Caenorhabditis elegans: one gene and its partner. The protein of the gene in region 1 interacts with the protein of each later gene in a pairwise test. Each region holds a gene or a part of one and is shown on either strand. Other genes may lie near its edges. The genes, in order: hlh-10 and hlh-2.

The links.
Region 2: the proteins of hlh-10 (region 1) and hlh-2 interact in a two-hybrid assay, tested with the Caenorhabditis elegans proteins (2 studies listed by BioGRID).

What each region holds. Positions count from the first base shown.
Region 1 is NC_003283.11:9,280,001-9,284,277, reverse strand, and holds hlh-10 (Helix-loop-helix protein 10), read left to right. Parts: upstream 1-2,067; 5' UTR 2,068-2,226; coding exon 2,227-2,297; intron 2,298-2,816; coding exon 2,817-3,113; intron 3,114-3,172; coding exon 3,173-3,293; intron 3,294-3,456; coding exon 3,457-3,576; 3' UTR 3,577-3,766; downstream 3,767-4,277. UniProt on the Caenorhabditis elegans protein: Probable transcription factor which binds the E box motif 5'-CA[TC][AG]TG-3'.
Region 2 is NC_003279.8:7,189,969-7,195,703, reverse strand, and holds hlh-2 (Helix-loop-helix protein hlh-2), read left to right. Parts: upstream 1-1,783; 5' UTR 1,784-1,796; coding exon 1,797-1,941; intron 1,942-2,291; coding exon 2,292-2,779; intron 2,780-3,618; coding exon 3,619-3,920; intron 3,921-4,032; coding exon 4,033-4,174; intron 4,175-4,341; coding exon 4,342-4,464; 3' UTR 4,465-4,916; downstream 4,917-5,735. Other genes in the region: plag-15 (PhosphoLipase A2 Group), read right to left, coding at 5,214-5,682. UniProt on the Caenorhabditis elegans protein: Transcription factor which binds the E box motif 5'-CA[TC][AG]TG-3'. Plays a key role in the anchor cell/ventral uterine precursor cell (AC/VU) decision; required for VU fate.

The DNA of each region.
Region 1 (4,277 bases):
ATTATATCAATTCATTATTCCATATTTTATTTTATATTATGTATTCTATAAAAGTGCCTTCTTCTGATACTGTTGCTTTGAACTGAAATCTTCAACAAAAAACTTTCTGAGTTTTTATTGAATAGGCTAATAAATCTTTCTAATTTCTTGAAAATCGATCATTGAACAATTTTTAATGTATACAGGTTTAAAATTGATTTAAATTTTAAAAAATCCAGTTTTTGAGTGAACATAGGAAAAAATCAAGGCTTGAGAAGAGTTCACCAAACCATTTTTTTCCTAAGTTCCTAAATCTTGATGTATTTTTGTTTGACTAAGAGCAGCGACTGAATATTTTTAATTTGAAGAGTCTCCCATCCGGAGACCAGATTTTTCCAATTTCACAAAGCAAATAGACAGGGAGGGCAAAAAGTTGAGAGAGTGGCAAGGTGCGGCAGTGAGGAAACAGCAGGAGTCTGATATAATCAGGAGCATTGAAAGTTTTCAACTTCTGGAAAATTAAAATCTGTTAGAGGTTTTTTCTGACAAACGCAGATGATTCGTGTTTCGAATAGAGAAAAGACGGATGTGGAGATTGAGAAGGAGAGTCAGGAGGACTATGGCGCGGAGCACAAGCTGTGCTCGTGGTGGAGCACATCTGTGTCTAATCGGTAGAGAATGCGCATGTTGTTTCCATATACCCAGCTGCTACTCGCACAGAGCTTTTGCACATCATTTACTTTTACTTTTTCGGAGCCCTGGAGCTTCTATTTAAACATTTCTTTCAATAGCCAGAAGTCTATAAATTATCATGTAGGTACTCAGAGTACTGGACGAACAAAATGTCAAATTGAAAAACGAAAATGTGTCAATCTTAGTCAAACCACAGCTGTGAACTTTCGGAAGGAGATGAGGTCTGTTCTGGGACTCATTGTGCATTGGCATCTGTTCATCCATCCGCCAGTCGAATGCCAAACCCTTAACTCCATAATGCCTATTCTTGCATAATACGTCTTCAAAGGTTATTTCAATAAAAAAACATTTTTTAAGGCATCAATTTATGGTTGTTAGGTAGATAAAAATATCTTGGGGAGATTGCACAATTTTTGATAATATGGTAATTTTGTACAATGGGTTTCTAAATAGTCATGTGCCACTTAAGGTTATTAAGCGAATATCTAGAATATAAATACATACATACAATTGCGATCTTCGCTCATCCCATTCATACACCATTGTAGGTAATCCTCCATTCCATTTATATTCAGAACGATTCTTTCACTCTCGGCTCTATGCTATACACGTATTCTTATTCTCTTTCCAACTGCTTTCGCTGCAAAAATTATACATAGTATGGCCCATCTGACCTATTGACGTGACATCGTTGTGCTGTCTAATAAACTCACATCCATCAAGACGCCGACGACTATTTCTAATATAAGAAAGGGAAGACGGGAAAAGGAAAAGTCAAATGCTCATAGATGTTCACATTCAATTTAGTTGTATTAGAAGACAAGAAGAACAAATCCGAAGTGTTCTGTTGAACTTTGTAAGAGTTTTCGGATAAATGTAGGATATAATTCAAAGACTACTTCAAACTCGCCTGCCATCTATTTTATGAACATATCTGATAAATAAAGCTAACTCCCGTGTTCGGAATTCGTACAGCGCGAGTTTAAGAACTTCTAATTTTCTAGGAATGGGTCGGGCAGAAGCCCTTTGATCCTAACGTATCTAAAATATTATACCTTCAGATCTCTTCTGGTATCTATTTTATCGAAATTCACAAAAGATAGCAATTAAAAATATCAAAGTTGCAAGAATTTAAAGACGATAAGTATCCTATCCGCTCACAACTCCTTGATACCACTGGTACAAATCAGCGAGAAGTTATTTTTAGAAATCATGGAGAAATCTGTTGCAATAAATTTGCATTATCCATCCGCCCTATCATATTCTTCTCTCATCCCTATAATTAGTTGTTAGGGTTTCCATAGTATTGTGTATAGCTTCTCTTTATCCCTTCTTCTTAACCCCCTTATGTTGTTCCATTCCCGTCTCTTTCACCACCACTTGTGATGCTTTTCTCACACAGCCGGCGAAGCCGTCTGTCTCTGAAAGAAGCCGAATCACCTGTCATATTCAGGTGTTCCCGTACGCTCAACCACACGCACCCTTCGTTTATTCGTATTTCCTTCTGTCAGGCTCCGGGTGTGGTCTACTTTTCATAGCACAATTTCGAGAACTATGGAATCTTCAAGTATGACAACTCATCAAGAAGAGCCATTGGATTTGTCAACTGGAAATCATGGAAACTCGTAAGTATGGCTATGATCGAGAAAAAGTGTAATTATTTTTGAAAATTTGAAGGTGGAGTTCGGAAAATGTTTATTGACAGTGATAAAGTAGTAATTACCGAGTTCTTGTCACTTTTTGAGATAACTATACCATTGCCGCATGTTCGACTCCCTGCAACGTTTGAATATTAATATGTGAAACATAAGTAGACCATAAAATTCAAAGGTAAACATTTTTAATAGACGACTTCGAGAAAAGTGGCAAAAACTGGGTAATAAACACTTTTTGACTGTAAATAAAAAGTTATCAAAAAAATAATGAAAAGATTCACTACGACATTCTATCATTTTGTCATAATGTAATTGTGTTTCAACAATTTCTCCACTGTCGCTACTCCTTTTGAATTCTAAATCTTTAATATTGATGATGTGCTTCTGAAAACAAAAAAACCAAAAAAAGACGTTTAAAAAGAAAACTGCTAGACAAAAAAAAGATGTAGATGTCAAACCATGAAATAAGATACCAACTCCTTTTTTTAGAGAACTGTCCGATGAGCAGCAGATCATGCAAGTGATGGAATCATGTGGCATGTTTTTACAACAGAACCTTTTTGCTTGGTTTCTTCAGTCCATGCTTGAAGCATCTGCATCTCAACCTCAATTAACACAAGATGAGCCACCAGAAAATGATACAAAGGAAAATGACCTCGTTAAGCAAAACAAATCAGAAGTTAATGACGAAAATGAGTCTACTCCAAGTCCAACTCAAAATAGCAGGCGAAGAACTTCCACTGGGAAGATTGATAGAAGAATGGTCGGAAAAATGTGTACGAGAAGGTGAGTTCATAAAATTTATAAAATTTGAGACAATTTTCCATTGTTTTAAACAGTTTCAGATATGAAGCCAATGCAAGAGAAAGAAATAGAGTTCAACAACTTTCAAAAATGTTTGATCAATTGAGAGTCTGCCTTCCAATAGAGGATGACGCAAAAATATCAAAGTTGGCTACGTTGAAGGTATACTGAAAGTTTTAAGAAAAATACTTTCATGGTCAATTAAAATTTGTCTTCGATTTGTAAAAAAAAAAGATTGAGACAAAAGCCAAAAAACGGGAAGGTGGGAAACCACAGAAATATTTGTAAAACGCATAATTTTCCCTTCTAAAAATTGCATTTTTAGGTTGCAAGTTCTTACATTGGATATCTCGGAGCTATTTTACAAGAAAACTCAAACGACGAAGAAGAATTTAAAAAACAACTTCAAGTCGAATTGGAATGTGCAAAAACGTTACGAAAGTAAAAGTACACAATACTCTGTTGAATATTTCCAACCCTGTTCTCATTCTACTTGATCTCTGTGATTAACAAAAACCGTATTGTTGTTTCCAGCTTTTCGGTTTATAATTGTTTGATGTCATCGTTTTACCATTTCCGATGAACTTTTTTTTTATTATAAATTCTTGTTATTGAATTTAAATAAAAATTGAAATCTCATAAAAATTTCATATAATATAATAGCAAAAACAGAATAAGTTTTTGACTTGAATAGGATTGAAATATTACAAGTTTCAGTCTAAGATCTGTAAATTATTTTTTTGCTGACGAAATCGATTGAAAATTAAGGAGCAAGTTTACCTTTCTCGTAAGCAGTACATATTTTAGCACTAGGCTGAAAAATTATGTTCCTGTTTCTATCGAAATTCTGGAGGTGATCTATTGAAAGTGTACAGTTTTTTTTCGGAATTCATGTTTAGTAGTATTCGAATTTTTTGAGTAGCTTCGATAAAATAACCAGTTCGTGAGTTTTTTAGACCTACTGAATTCATTTAAAACGTCAGTTTTCAATGAGACCCACACCACATATTTTTTAGTACAGATTGGTCTTAACTTTTGAATTGATGAATATACCAAAATTTCAATTTATTACACTAATAATCTGAAAAATCTGCATAAATTAAGTTTCATAATTTGTTCCGTGTGTTGATCATACTACAGGAAGAA
Region 2 (5,735 bases), on another chromosome or scaffold:
AATAAGTATCACCATTTAGTTAATCATATTTGTAGAACAAATTCGTCATTATTACCGTATTTCTAACTTTTTCTAACCAAACCATTGAGCACTTGAATTTGATGACAGCTGCACTCCGTCCCACAATAGACACCTCCCCAAATACTCTCGAGAAAAAAGTTCCAGTACCGTATACTTTTGACAACATCTGTCAAAAAATGCACTTTAGAGACGGGCATTGGAAGTATCATTTCTTTTTATAATTGTTGGTTTATTACCACAGAGAGACAATTTTAGGATATGGCTCAAGATATTTGAAGACTCGAGTAGTCCCACAGTATTGTGATTGCTGAAACTTCTGTTGTGAATATGAGTAACTTTATTCTAATAAAATATACCCCTTTCCTGTGCACACTCTTTCTCTCACTCTTACCATATTCTGAAGAATTAAAATTTCAGAGATCCCTACAAAACTCTAATAACATGCTTCAAAAATGAATGTACTCCCTACAGTCGGGTGGCGACATTTTCCCCCAAGAGAGCTGACCTCTTCTATTCATTCAATCCCCTTATTCATTCAATCCTTCCCCCATTTTCCTCTCATTTCACCCAAAAAAGACTGGTGAATGAATGGTGGGAGAAGAGATGGAGGACCCCGGGATAATAGAGGATTGTGTGCTGCAGGAGGTAGAGAGAGATGGTTGTGGGCGTGACCTCTCCCGATCATCGTCTCTGCGTCTCTTGGATGTAGACGGTCCCCGGGAGAAAGAATGTCTGCGTCTATGTACACCAATATACTGTTTATGTCCCTTGAATGGGCTTTTATACGCGTCCCTCCACTACCACCACCCTCGAAGAACCATTCCTAGCCACCCGCATAGCCGCTAAGAAGGGGGGAGTGCACTCTTTTCGTCTTTTTTTGTGTCTAAATCTGTTCCGTTTACTAGCTTTTCAAGTTCATGATCTTACTGTAATAAAACATAGCACATATTTTGAATGAAATACATAATGTATCCCATCTTCTGATTTTGAAAATTAAAATTTCTCTCCTCCCAATTTTCAATTTTGGATCTTTTACCAAATAATTTTGATCTGCATTACTTTTTCTCACTCCTACAATGTTTACGAATCCTTACCAATTTTGAATTTAAACAAGAACGCAAATGTATTGTAGGGCAGTTTTTTTTTCAATTATTGAGTTTATCAAAAAATGTATATTTGCATCCGAAATGTTACTAGCTCACGTTTAAAGCTTTCATATATATCTTATCCTACGTCTGAATTTAAACTAATTATTTAGATGGGCCTGAAACCCTTTGATCCATCACCCCTTTACTGTTATTTTATTGCTCTTTCGGGATGTCATCCATCCGATAATCATCTACAATGACATCTACATTTACAACTATTTCTTGATACCATCTCAACATCATTACCTCCCTACAAATTGTTCTCCTTCAAGTAACTTGCTCCTAATAATTTATACCGGAACTTAGTAGATCTATTGTGACGTCACAATTATTATTCTTTATTGATCTACCTTGCCTCTTTTGATCTCGTTTGCCTATTTAACCAAACGAGGAGAATCGATTATTTTCTTCTTTTTCTTATTCTCAATATTTCTTCAAATGGGGTTGTCTTGACGAAAATCTAATCAGAATATATTTACTAACCTAATTTTTTCACCTGCTGCTCCAGCCCAATTCCCTACTTATTCCCTTTCCTCTCCCCGCTTCTCCGCTGACTTTATTTCTTTGACATTACTACTATAATCGTCTTTCATATCATTTCGCAGAAATAAAGTTTTCAGAACCTCAATGGCGGATCCAAATAGCCAACTTACGTCAGCCACAACTGTTGCAACTGCCGCCATTGCTCAACCACAGGTTATGCTTCCAAATGCATATGATTATCCTTATAATATTGATCCGACAACGATTCAGATGCCTGATTATTGGAGTGGTTAGTCTTTTTTTCATTTGAAATCTATTATAATTTCAATTATATCATTTGGTAAACCAAACCAAACATGTTTTCGTGAATTTGTTAAAAGTCGCTTGTAATCAGTTAGAAATATTGGATAAATTGCAGAAAAAGGATATAAGTTTGGTATTACTTATCTCGAATTGTTGAATTGTTGATTTTATAAGCTCGCAAATTTTTAAAATTTACTTTAAGTTGAAACAAAATGTATAACTCTTTTAATGTTCTAAAATTTTGTAAAAATCTGGTTTGCTCTAGTAAGTAGTTTATTAACCAAAATGTTTATATCTCATTTCTCAAGTGCAAGTCATCTAAATAAACATTTTCAGGATACCATCTCAACCCGTATCCTCCGATGCAAACAACGGATATTGATTATTCATCAGCCTTCCTTCCAACACATCCACCAACTGAAACCCCTGCTTCCGTAGCTGCTCCAACTTCTGCAACATCTGATATTAAGCCAATTCATGCAACATCATCCACTTCAACGACGGCTCCATCTACTGCTCCAGCTCCAACTTCAACTACTGATGTGCTTGAGTTAAAGCCAACAACAGCTCCAGCCACGAATTCTGCAGAAACATCAGCGATTGTTGCTCCACAGCCTCTTACTAATCTTACCGCACCAATTGACGCAATGTCATCAATGTATACATGGCCACAAACATATCCAGGTTACCTTCCACCTTCAGAAGATAACAAAGCAAGTGAAGCTGTTAATCCATACATCTCAATCCCTCCAACATATACATTTGGTGCTGATCCATCAGTTGCCGACTTCTCATCGTATCAGCAGCAACTTGCTGGACAGCCGGTACGTTTCTATTCTTCTTGGTTTTATTCGTGTTTTACTGTTTTACCACAAGTTAATCTCGACGAATGATTGCTTGGCCCTCCTCAGCCGCCAAGCATTCACGTATGCATAATCCGCTTCCTTTTGATGTGAGCCGCCGCCTTCTGAAGATTGAGATGCATGCAAAAGGCGGCATCTTCTTGAGAAGAACACCCTGTGCGCACTAAACGACCTCCAAAAAAGTCACTAATGTAAACATAAAACAAGGAGAAACATACAGAAAAGATGGATTAGTTACATAATTAGGCAAAGTTTATCGCTTTTTTTGTTGGAGGAAATTTTTGAGATTCTTTCAGTTTTCTTTAAAATAATTTTTGCCATATGACAATACTAAACATTAAGATTCTGAACTACTGTTGTCGTGAACAAAGTTTTGAGACCCTGATGACATTTTTTTGCGTTCCAGTCTTGAGAAATCTAGAATAATATGGTAAAATCCCTGTATCCAACCTCTGACTAGTGAATAACTAAATTGGCCAAAATTTGAAGCTCTTGCTTTTTGCATTGTTACCCAATAGCCGGTCACATTTTCTGATGGTGTCCTCGAAAACCGAAGGGGGCTATTGACCGACGTCGCCGCATGATTAAGTGGTGAACAGAGACGGTCACATTGCGGGGTTCAGTACATTAAAGAGATCGATTGATTTGACTCGGCCCCCAATAGTACCATTTGAGAGAATTAACTGACTAGCAAGGCAAATGAAATTAATTCTTTGTTTTGTTTCATTGAGAGAAAAAGTTGAGTAGTTTTAGATGAGGGTTATAGAAATTATAAAACCAAAAACAATGAAATATTGCAGAATGGTCTTGGTGGAGATACCAACTTGGTTGACTACAATCATCAATTCCCACCAGCCGGTATGAGCCCACACTTTGATCCAAATGGATATCCAGGAATGACCGGAATGCCACCAGGATCAAGTGCATCATCTGTTCGAAATGATAAGTCTGCATCAAGAGCAACGAGCCGTCGTCGGGTACAAGGCCCTCCATCTTCTGGAATTCCAACTCGCCATTCATCGTCTTCAAGGCTTTCTGATAATGAATCAATGAGTGATGACAAAGATACGGATAGGAGATCACAGAATAATGCTCGAGAAAGGTGAGGAGTTTTTTACTTTTAAGACGTTTTGAATTGAACATTGGAAATTGACAATTACATAGTAATTTAATCGAGATATCTCCAAATCTAATCTAATACAAAAAACTTACAGAGTACGAGTTCGTGACATCAATTCGGCATTCAAAGAGCTCGGACGAATGTGCACACAGCACAATCAGAATACAGAACGGAATCAAACAAAATTGGGAATTCTACACAATGCAGTATCTGTGATTACACAATTGGAAGAACAGGTTAGATAATTTTTCATATTTTAAAGAAACATTCAAATTGTGAACAAAATTAATTGGCAATTGTTCGACTGCTGTATTTTTGACTTTGAAGCACATAACATTGCGATGGAATTTATTCGAAAAATTTAAACAAAACACTGAACAAGTTGAAATTTATAATTTTACAGGTTCGTCAACGAAATATGAATCCAAAAGTGATGGCTGGAATGAAAAGGAAACCTGATGATGATAAAATGAAGATGCTTGATGACAATGCACCATCCGCGCAGTTTGGACATCCACGGTTTTAAATTTAAAAATTGACTTTTTAAGCATTTCAAACTATCATTCCCAATCTTCTCCCAATCATCCATACGGCTAAAACTCTCTAGCATATTGTTTTTTTGTTCAAACTATTCAAATGTTCCCCTTCATCTCCCTCCGGATTGGAGGTCCTGTGATTTCTCAACTTCAATCAGTTTTCAGTTTTAAAAATTTTAAACTTTATTACAAGATCATCACAATTTTCTGTATGTTTTTAATTTATTTTCTCCTCTAAATTTAAATCAATCAATAGCTAATTCTAATATTTCAAGTATTAAAATTAACTTTCATATTATTCATTCATTCAATCAACTTCTTCCAACTTGTCTTATTTTTTGTGTGTGTGTATGTGATAAACCATAGCTAATTAGTATCTACTTGAAATGAAATGGTCCACTCAAAAAAAAAGACACCGCCAACTAATTTCACACATGAATTACTCTATTGGGTAACTGTTTCAACACTTTAATTATCCAAGCTCCGATGAAGTGCTAATGTCCTTCGCAGTATGGATTCCACTTTATGTTGAAAGGGATTCCCATTTATAATTAGACATTTAGTTTGACTTTCTAAGTCGTTGAAACGAGATGTTTTTTTCATGGTCTGTCAAAACTGATGTATAGGAATATTGGATGTATAAAATGTCAACAACGGGAAAAAATGTGATACAAACATAATTCATTCACCTTGATCAAAACAAACAAAATTTTAAAATTCAGAACCCTTTTTGCATCACTCAAATTAACTGGAAAATGGCTTTTCGGACAAGTTCAATTGCATTTGGATGTTTAAGAATTGCCATGTGATCAGCTTGAAATACTTCGTGTACAGTAACCTTATAACCATTATTATTTCCAATCCAATTAGTGCACACTGTAGCTGATTTTTTGTTCACTGTCCCGTCTCCATCACCCATGAATTCAGTTGGTGGATAATCTGGAAAGTATCCGGGAGCCCATGAAAACTTTTCCGGTGTGGGGACTCCTGTTCCATAAATACAATGAACTGGAACTCCTGGAGAACTTAAATTTCCATTCAGACGGGCGGCCTGTTTGTATTGTTCCCATCCAACCATGTAATTAATGTCTTGAAAGAATTCTTTAATATTTCCAACAGTGTAGTTTTTGTCAGCAGTTGTCGCTAATATTTCATGTGGTTTCCATGCAACTGGACTTGGAAACAGAAAGGCCGAAGAGGAGAATGATCTGAAGAACCAAATAAGTTGAAGAAAAACATAATTTGGTAGTCTTAGCACCAT